Linked DNA regions of Mus musculus. The protein of the gene in region 1 purifies or fractionates together with the protein of each later gene. This does not show direct contact. Links are inferred from orthologs where the notes say so. Each region holds a gene or a part of one and is shown on either strand. Other genes may lie near its edges.

What was found. The genes of interacting proteins can lie anywhere in the genome.
Region 2: the proteins of Mark4 (region 1) and Pnma2 purify together in Homo sapiens (co-immunoprecipitation; 3 studies listed by BioGRID and IntAct, with this or other methods). This does not show direct contact. The link is inferred for Mus musculus from reciprocal best matches to the Homo sapiens genes MARK4 and PNMA2.

What each region holds. Positions count from the first base shown.
Region 1 is NC_000073.6:19,444,970-19,449,076, forward strand, and holds part of Mark4 (MAP/microtubule affinity-regulating kinase 4), read right to left. Parts: intron 3,690-4,107; coding exon 3,636-3,689; intron 3,506-3,635; coding exon 3,457-3,505; intron 2,779-3,456; coding exon 2,713-2,778; intron 2,283-2,712; coding exon 2,212-2,282; intron 197-2,211; coding exon 140-196; intron 1-139. UniProt on the Homo sapiens protein: Serine/threonine-protein kinase. Phosphorylates the microtubule-associated protein MAPT/TAU. Also phosphorylates the microtubule-associated proteins MAP2 and MAP4.
Region 2 is NC_000080.6:66,909,776-66,914,369, reverse strand, and holds the start of Pnma2 (paraneoplastic antigen Ma2 homolog), read right to left. Parts: upstream 3,163-4,594; 5' UTR 3,077-3,162; intron 64-3,076; exon of another isoform or gene 1-63. Other genes in the region: Dpysl2 (dihydropyrimidinase-related protein 2), read left to right, coding at 3,587-3,928.

The DNA.
Region 1 (4,107 bases):
GTGGCTGTACCCCCACCTCCATCACGTCACAGATGCGTGGGAAAGAACCCGGGGCACTGCAGCTGGGGAAGGTCAAAGGGAGGAGTGGGGAGTGTGAGGCATGGCTGGCAGCTGGGCTCTCGCAGTGGGAGGGGCTTACCTTTAGATCCCTGTGTACAATGTTCTTCTGATGACAGTAGTGCACGGCTGACACGATCTACGGTTGAAGACAAGTCATGTGGGAGGCCAGAGTCTTCCATGTCCCTTGCAGCCCAAAAAGCCACCACCCACAGCTGACCTAGCTGCCCAGTACTTCTCTGGGCACCAGTCGAGGACCTGGGGGCTCAGCCAGGTTCAGAGAGCGTTGAACACCCAGACATCATCTGATGGTCTCACAGGCAGCTCTCTCTCTCTCTGTCTCTGTCTCTCTGTCTCTCTCATACACACACATACACACAAACACACACATGGACACATGCATGCACATGCAGGTATGCATACACGCATGTCCTTGGTTGTAGTATCAAGACCTTGGGACTAGTCCATGTTTGGGAACTCCAAAGTGTCCCATGCAGGGAAACAGGTATGTGGCCCCAACTCACCGGGGCTACAATCCTTGTGCCTGAAGGTGCTTACTCTACACAAAGGGTGCCCTCACACCAGTAGTAAATACAGTGGTGCCCACTCACAGGCCACACATCCTGAAATGCTTCTCACACCCGTGTACCTTCTCATTTCACACCTATGGATCTTCTCACCCTGAATCTGTTCTTCATTCCTGCACATCCTTTCACCTCACACCTGGGCCTCACACCTGCATGTCCACTCACCTCACACCTGGGCCTCACACCTTCATGTCCACTCACCTCACACCTGAGCCTCACACCTGCACATCCTCTCACCTTACACCTGGGCCTCACACCTGCATGTTCACTCACCTCACACCTGTGCCTCACACCTTCATGTCCATTCACCTCACACCTGCACATTCTCTCACCTCACACTTGGGCCTCACACCTGCATGTCCACTCACCTCACTCCTGGGCCTCATACCTTCATGTCCACTCACCTCACACCTGAGCCTCACACCTGCACATCCTCTCACCTCACACCTGCATGTCCACTCACCTCACACCTGAGCCTCACACCTGCACATCCTCTCACCTTACACCTGGGCCTCACACCTGCATGTTCACTCACCTCACACCTGTGCCTCACACCTTCATGTCCATTCACCTCACACCTGCACATCCTCTCACCTCACACTTGGGCCTCACACCTGCATGTCCACTCACCTCACTCCTGGGCCTCATACCTTCATGTCCACTCACCTCACACCTGAGCCTCACACCTGCACATCCTCTCACCTCACACCTGCATGTCCACTCACCTTACACCTGGGCCTCACACCGGTGTGTCCTCTAACTTCCATATTCACTCTCACACACCAATGTCTACACCCTAGGTGAGAGTGGTGAATCCTCCACACCAAGCACCTGTAGGCCCTGCCACCCAGAAGCCCCACCCCCATCTTGCCACTCCAACGCATGCAGCTACCTCACACCTACACACACTCCTTCAAGGACCCACATACCACCCTCTGCATCTCTGAGTTTGTGTATGTGTGTTGACATCAGTGTGCTTCTCAATTGCTCTCCCACTTTATTTACTGGGGAAGGGTGTCTCTCTCACTGAACCAGGAGCTTAACAATCCAGGTAGTGTAGCTGCCCAGCCACAGTGAGCCCAGCTGCCTCCTGAGTGCTGGGATGGAGGCTGGCACTGCCACACCCACCCCACAGGGCTCAGGGAACTAAACTCTAGCCCTCTGGCTTGCTTAGCAGGGCTGCATCCAAGGAGCCATCTCCCCAGCCTTGCCTTGCCTTTCCTTTCCTTTCCTTTCCTCTCCTTCTCTCTCTGTCTCTGTCTCTCTCTCTCTCTCTCTCTGTCTCTCTCTCTCTCTCTTTCATGGCAGGGTCTTGTATAGCCCAGGCTAGCCTCAAACTCTATGTGGCTGAGGATGCCCCTGATCCCCTTGCCTGATCCACCCCAGCTTTGCCATGCAGACTCCAGCATTTTTCCCCACCCCCACCCCACCCAGGCCTCAGCATCCACTCACCTGTACACCCACTGCCATCACCTGAGCCCTGGCCCCCCAACAGCCTCCTCCCATCTGGGTCCCTGTGCATCCTCATCCCTGCATATGCTCATGAACATGGCACCCTGTCTCTCACCTGCCGGAACTTGGCTCGAGCCTCCTTCTCCTTCATGCGGCCGTGCGACACGAGGTAGTCAAACACTTCTCCTGCAGAGAGCAAGAGGGGTGAGAGCTGGAGCCAGAGGGTGCAATGGGGGAGGGATTGGGAAAGCAAGGTGTGGTGGGATGTGTGAGCAGGGCACAGGGTCTGGGGGATGTGTGAGCAGGGCACAGGGTCTGGGGGATGTGTGAGCAGGGCACGGGGATGGGAGGGTGAGAGCAGGATGTGGGTATCTTGGGGGTGGTCTGAGAGCAGGGTGTGGGGGTCTGGGGGGGATGTGATAGCAGGGGGAGGGAGTGGGGGAATGTGAGAGCAGGGTCTAGGGGTCTGGGGGTGAGAGCAGGGTCTGGGGGCCTGGGGGGGGGGAGAACAGGGTCTGGGGGTCTGGAGATGTGAGAGCAGGGTTATGGGGGTCTGGGGGGAATGTGAGAGCAGGCACAGGGGTTAGGGGGAGCAGAGCGTGGGGCAGAGTTTCACCTGCGCTAGCGTATTCCATCACCAGGTATAGCGTCTTCTCCGTCTCTATCACCTCAAAAAGCTTCACTGCGGGGAGGGTTCGAGGTGTTAGGTTAGCGTGGAAGAGCTGGCCATTCTCCACCCAGACTGCAGCCATCTGCCAATCCTCTCGTGCCTCCCGCCAGAGCCCCCATGGCTCCCTACGCCCACCCAGCCAGGTTTTCCCTGCTGCTCAGCCTCCCTTTCTCTACACAAGAGTTTCAGCTCAATAAAGCCTAGGACCTGTGCCCATGTTGCTGGCATTCACAGTCGGCAGTTACACAGTCAGTGCACGTCATCGCCACATCCAGGCACGCTACACTGTGCTCCGCTCAGTGACCACCTCTGCTAATGACCATGAGTGCCGTGGTCCACACGGACCTGAACAGGCTAATCTTACCTGGTCATTACAACCCTGATACTGATCCCAGCTCCAGAAAACAAAGCAGATGCCCAGGGAGCCTCAGCCAGGCTGGAATGGCTGCACCACAGTGGCCAGGTCTCTCTATGAAAGCCCCGCCCTCCCTTCCCAAGGGCTCCACCATGGCCAGCTCCCATCCGCCCATGGCCAGCTCCCGTCCGCCCATAGCCAACCCCCCCCCCCCCCCGTCCATCCATGGCCAGCCCCCGTCCGCCCATAGCCAACCCCCGTCCATCCATAGCCAGCTCCCATCCACCCATGGCCAGCCCCCGTCCATCCATGGCCAGCTCCCGTCCCCTCCTCACCGATGTTGGGGTGGTTGAGTCCCTTCATAATTCGGACTTCTCTGAACAGCTGGGCAAGGCCAGGAAGGAAGAGCAGACAGTTGTGAGTGGGGTGGGGCTCCCTCCCCTGCCAGGCCTGGTCGGGTCCCAGCTCTCACCCAGCACTGTGTTCCCACCCTGGTCCTTTCTCTGGGCCTCACCTTCTGCAAGCTACTGGGGTTCAGCTGGGTCTTATCAATGATCTTAATAGCGACCTGTGGGTAGAAGAAGGTGGAAAGGTCAAAATCCCCCAGCCCAGATCCCACAGCACGTTTGGGGCCAGCCTGGACGACATGAGACATGTGAGACATTATGTCAAAAAGAAGTTTTTTAAAAATATTGAATATTAACTGTTAATTGAGCTAAGTATAGCGGTCCAGGCCTAGAGTACCAACAACTGGGAGGCAAAGTGAGTCAGAGACTAGCCTGGTCTACACGGCAAGTCCTAGGCTAACGAGAGGCTGGAGAGATATTAAACACAGTGACTGCATCCTGTGGAGTTCAGTTGCCAGCACCCACCTGGTGGCTCCCAACCATCAGTAACTCCAGTTACAAGATACCCACCGTCGTCTTCTGGCCTCCCTGGCTCCTTTCACACAGGTTCACATGCCCACCAGCAGATGCACAGACACA
Region 2 (4,594 bases), on another chromosome or scaffold:
TCCTCTGAGACGGTAAGCCCCCATCAAATGCTTTCTTCTATAAGCTGCCTTGGTCATGGTGCTCTGCCAGAGAAATAGAAAAGTAACTAAGACATTTAAACTTGACATTGTCATTTAAATTTAACTGGGCCGTTGAGAAAAGGGCAAAGACAGAACACATATCCACTGCAAAGTGATGTGTGCACCAAGCGTGCTTGCTCTGCAGGGCTGGGGAGACTGGAGAATGTAAAAGGGAGTGCTCCCAGTGACAGTGTGGTCACTTAGTCATGAGGATGCCTCCAGAGAAGCCGCTTCCTAATTGGCTGAATGTCAGAGTGCCATCACTAGACCATGCATTCTTATAGGGCACATGTGTTATGTCAACTGAAATGTTGTAATTTGGTGCCTGACTGTGCCTCTCAGAGACTTGTAGAGGGTGTGTTAGGGTGCTATATCCACTTCCTCCTTGGTTTGAACATCTCCCATCACTCTGAAGGAGGTTGTATGCCACAGATGCTGGTCTTAACTATGGCAGCAGCAGGAGCAGATCCGGTCTTCCTGGAAGGTGTTGAAGGCTGTTCCACTGTGTCAGAACCAGGAGAGCAAGATGCTGTCTCACCCTGTGCTTGGCAGCATGGGAGCCCGGAACTTCAGACCAATCTAGGCCTGAGATTCCCTTGTAAAATATGGGAGTGAACTTCCTCTGCTTGGAGTTGTTTCGAGGAATGAGATGTGAAGAGCTCTGGAGGGGCTAGGACTGTAGCCTAGTTGGCAGAGTGCTGTCACTATGTACAAAGCCTTGAGTTAGATCCCAAGCACTGCATAAGCCAGGCGCCGTGGCACATACCCATTACCCCAGCACTTAAGTGGTGAAGGTAAGTGAGCCAGGAGTTTAACTCCCTTGGCTACATCGGGAGTTTGAGGTCAGCCTGGGCTTACAAACAGGACCTTGTCTCAGAAAGAGCAAAAACAAACACAAGCGACATGCTGGGTAGTGGTGGCGCATGCCTGTAATCCTAGCACTTGGGAAGCAGAGGCAGGCAGAACTCTGAGTTCCAGGCCAGCCTGGTCTACAGAGTATGTTCTAGGACAGCCAGAGCTGTCACACGGAGAAACCCTCTCTTGAAAAACCGAAACAAACAGAAAACGAACGAACAAACAAAAAAGACAAATACAAACAAATGAACAAAAAACACCAAATGTCCAGATTCACAGAAAAATTGTCATGCTGAAATCTGCTAGCCTTTGAGACCTTTAACCCAATGGTAACCATACCTACAAGGGTTGCTCTTCAATTAACTAAGGCCTCACACATCTGGAGGGATTGCTTAGTGGTGAAATGCACAGGTTTGGTTACTAGCACCCACAAGTTGGCTTACTCTGTAACTTCAATTCCAGGGGAATCTGGCACTTTTGTCTGGCCGCCAATGGCCCCAGGCCTGTACACAGTGCATGTACAAACATTCAAGCAAAACATCCATATACATAAATGAAGGTTAACCAAAAAAGATTTTAAGACTGTAAATGAAACACCCTTGATGTACAAAAGAACCACCAGGGAAATGCTTGGGTATGGAAGAATGCAAGGATTTTGTACTTTTCTCACTAAAGAGGCCTATAGGATAACCTGTTGAAGGAACCAGGCTCTTGGGGCAAAGGCCTGGACAACTAGACACATGACTTTAGGCGTAATGACTCATAAACTGGTGTCCTAACTTGGAAGGCAGGGAGGATGAAAGACCTCAGGGCTTTAGTGTGGCATTGACAATTCCAATGGACACTTTATAAGAAAATTCCAAGCATTTCTGGTGCTAAGGTCCATAGGCCCTCCTTTCGGCTCCTACAGGATTGTGTGTGTGTGCGCACAAATTATGACTCCATCAATCAAGCTATCTCGGGCAACTGGGGGCGTTGATATCTGCAAGCAATCGTTACCTAAGCAAAGGCTGACAATGGGACTGATTTCTTGGTCACAACGCCCTGTGAGAACACGCTGCAGTAAACTGCCTCTCCTAGACCAAACCCATCCATCTTAGTGAGCATGCTCAGATCTCGCTCCAGAACCCCTAAAGGATGGGCAACACTTTTGCAGCTTTCAGCCACTCTGGAAAAACAGGAGGGGCTTAAATGCAACCAAGCCAGGACCAGGAGGTGGGACTAAGCAAGGAAAAGCCTCGAACCTGGCGGTCGTGGCTGAACCGTGTGCACGCGCGCACACACTCCAAATCCCCACACTTTGGCTGCCCACAACTCACACAGCATGTAACCCTCCCCTGAACAGCAATCTACCTCTACCCTCCATGCAAACCGCTGCGGCCCTAGAGAAGGAACATCTGGCAAACTCCCGGGCCTCCTGCGCAGCGTGCAACAGGGGCGGGGAAGCTAGGCGGGGCGACTTGAAAGCAAGATGAGTGTGCTTCAGTCTGCTTAGTCCCCAACCATTTTCCGTTTTGGGTGTGTGTGTGTGTGTGTGTGTGTGTGTGTGTGTGTGTGTGTGTGTGTTTTGAGGGATTGGAGATATCAAATCCAGGACTCTTCTGAGCCTTTTCTGAGGCAATGGCTGATGTGCAGGGCATGGCCTTTTCAGATGATGTTACGGGTCCCCAGTTTCTATGCTGAAGCGCAATCCTCAGTCTGCATTCTTTACTATGCCCCCCCCCCCCCCCCCCGCACCGCAGGCTTGCTGCTTTCTCCCCCGGTCACCGCTTGCATTTGCTATGCTCCTCTGCTTTTTCGCCCCCGCCATGTTGTGAGCCCCACCTCCCAACCACAGGGGCTGCAAGCAGGGAGAACATTCTCCTTTCCTTCTGCTCCTTGCAGTGCGCGCCCTGGCGCCCAGGTCGTGGGTAAACTGAAGCATTGGTGCCGGATACTTGGTTATCCCGGAGTAGACTTTGCTGTTTCCAGGGTCACCCCTGCCCAGTTTCCAAGAGCCTTCAGGCTTGAACCTTGGCTCCCTCAACCCTCAGCTCTCACCCGAGGCCAGGGGAGCCCCAGGGCCACCTTAGCAATGCAGTGAGGCAGGTCGGGGAGAGGGGCTCTGGACTAGGGTCTGAGCCTTCGGGTCCTTGCCCGGCTATAGCTATCCGACACTCACCCTGGCGCCGAGAGAGGTCTGTCGGGCGGCTGCCGCGCGTCCATTAGCGGGTGGAGTGTCCGCTTTACTTCCGGGGCGCAGGCTCCGGGCGCCCCCCACCCCCTCGTACCCTCCCTTCTCCGTCTCCTCCTTCTGGGTCCTCTCCCTCCTTGTCCCCTCCCTCCTGATCCTGCGTTCCTCCTGCCCCGCCCCACTCCGCCCCGCCCCGCGTTGCCGGGAACTGGCATCCTCTGCCGCAGCGACCGCCCGCTCAGATCCAACTTTGCTCGGAGGTGGCGTGGCGGCGCCGGGGGGCGTGGGCAGGGAGGGAGAAAGCGGGGTCAGGAGGAGGGACCGCGAGGGGTGGGTCGCCGGTTCGCCAGCTCTCCATCCTTTCTGTGCACCTTGCGGTAGGCAGGGAGAGGCAGCCGCGGCGGCAGCAAGAGGCTAGTGCACACCCAGCTAGGGAGACTTAGGAAACCACGGACGGACGGACGAACAGACAGGACCTTCCCCAGCGCCCCCTGAGCCATGGCCGAGAGAAAGCAATCTGGAAAGGCAGCAGAGGACGAAGAGGTCCCTGCCTTTTTTAAAAACCTGGGCTCCGGCAGTCCCAAGCCGCGGCAGAAATTCTGCGGCATGTTCTGCCCTGTGGAAGGGTCCTCGGAGAACAAGACCATCGACTTCGACTCGCTTTCAGTGGGCCGGGGCTCGGGGCAAGTGGTGGCTCAGCAGCGCGATGTCGCCCACTTGGGCCCCGACCCGCACCGGCAGAGCCGGCGTGCCAGTGGGGAGCCATCTGTTGAATCGAGCCGGAAGGTGGAGATCCGGCGGGCCTCGGGCAAGGAAGCCCTGCAGAACATCTATGATCAGGTTGGTATGGGGGTGGAGGGTGGGATCGGAGCGCGGGGCTGCCCCCTGGCTTGTCGCGGAGGACCGAGCATCCCCGCGTGGCAGCCAGCACCAGCCAGCACGCGGCACCAAGAGCTCTGCCTCCCGCATCTGCACGCGCACCGCGCCCTGCCCACCCCTTCACCGCGCAGGGTGCGGCGAGGCACGGGTTCGCCAGTGGGCGTTTGAGCTCCCACAAAGGCTGCCCTAGCCTCCTTGTCCCTGGGAGGTGGGGAACCCGCGTCAGGGACCAGCTGATCCCCGGGCTGGAGGCGTCGAGTGGCGATTGGGGTGGACCACTGTGCTGTTCTTAAATCCTCCCGGGCGGCATCCGATTGCAGCTGCGGCTCAGAGCCCCACCCTTTTTTGATGCAGCTCAAAGAGAGCAGTGGAAGGCTGCAGTGAAGACTAGAGGATTCCCTTGGGGTCTGTAGGGACAAGGGCTTACATGGCTACTCAGTGTGGCAAGGTCCCCGCCTCTAGTGCGCTCAGCACCATGGTTCTGAGCTAGGAGGTCAGGACCACGGCCAGCGCCCGGAGCCTCTTACCATTGCCTGGACTGTGTTCAGCAGCCAGTGAAGAGTCCGGGAGGTTGTGATGTCACTGAGAAAAGCTAGATAGCCCATGTAGAGAACAAAGTTCTGCTAA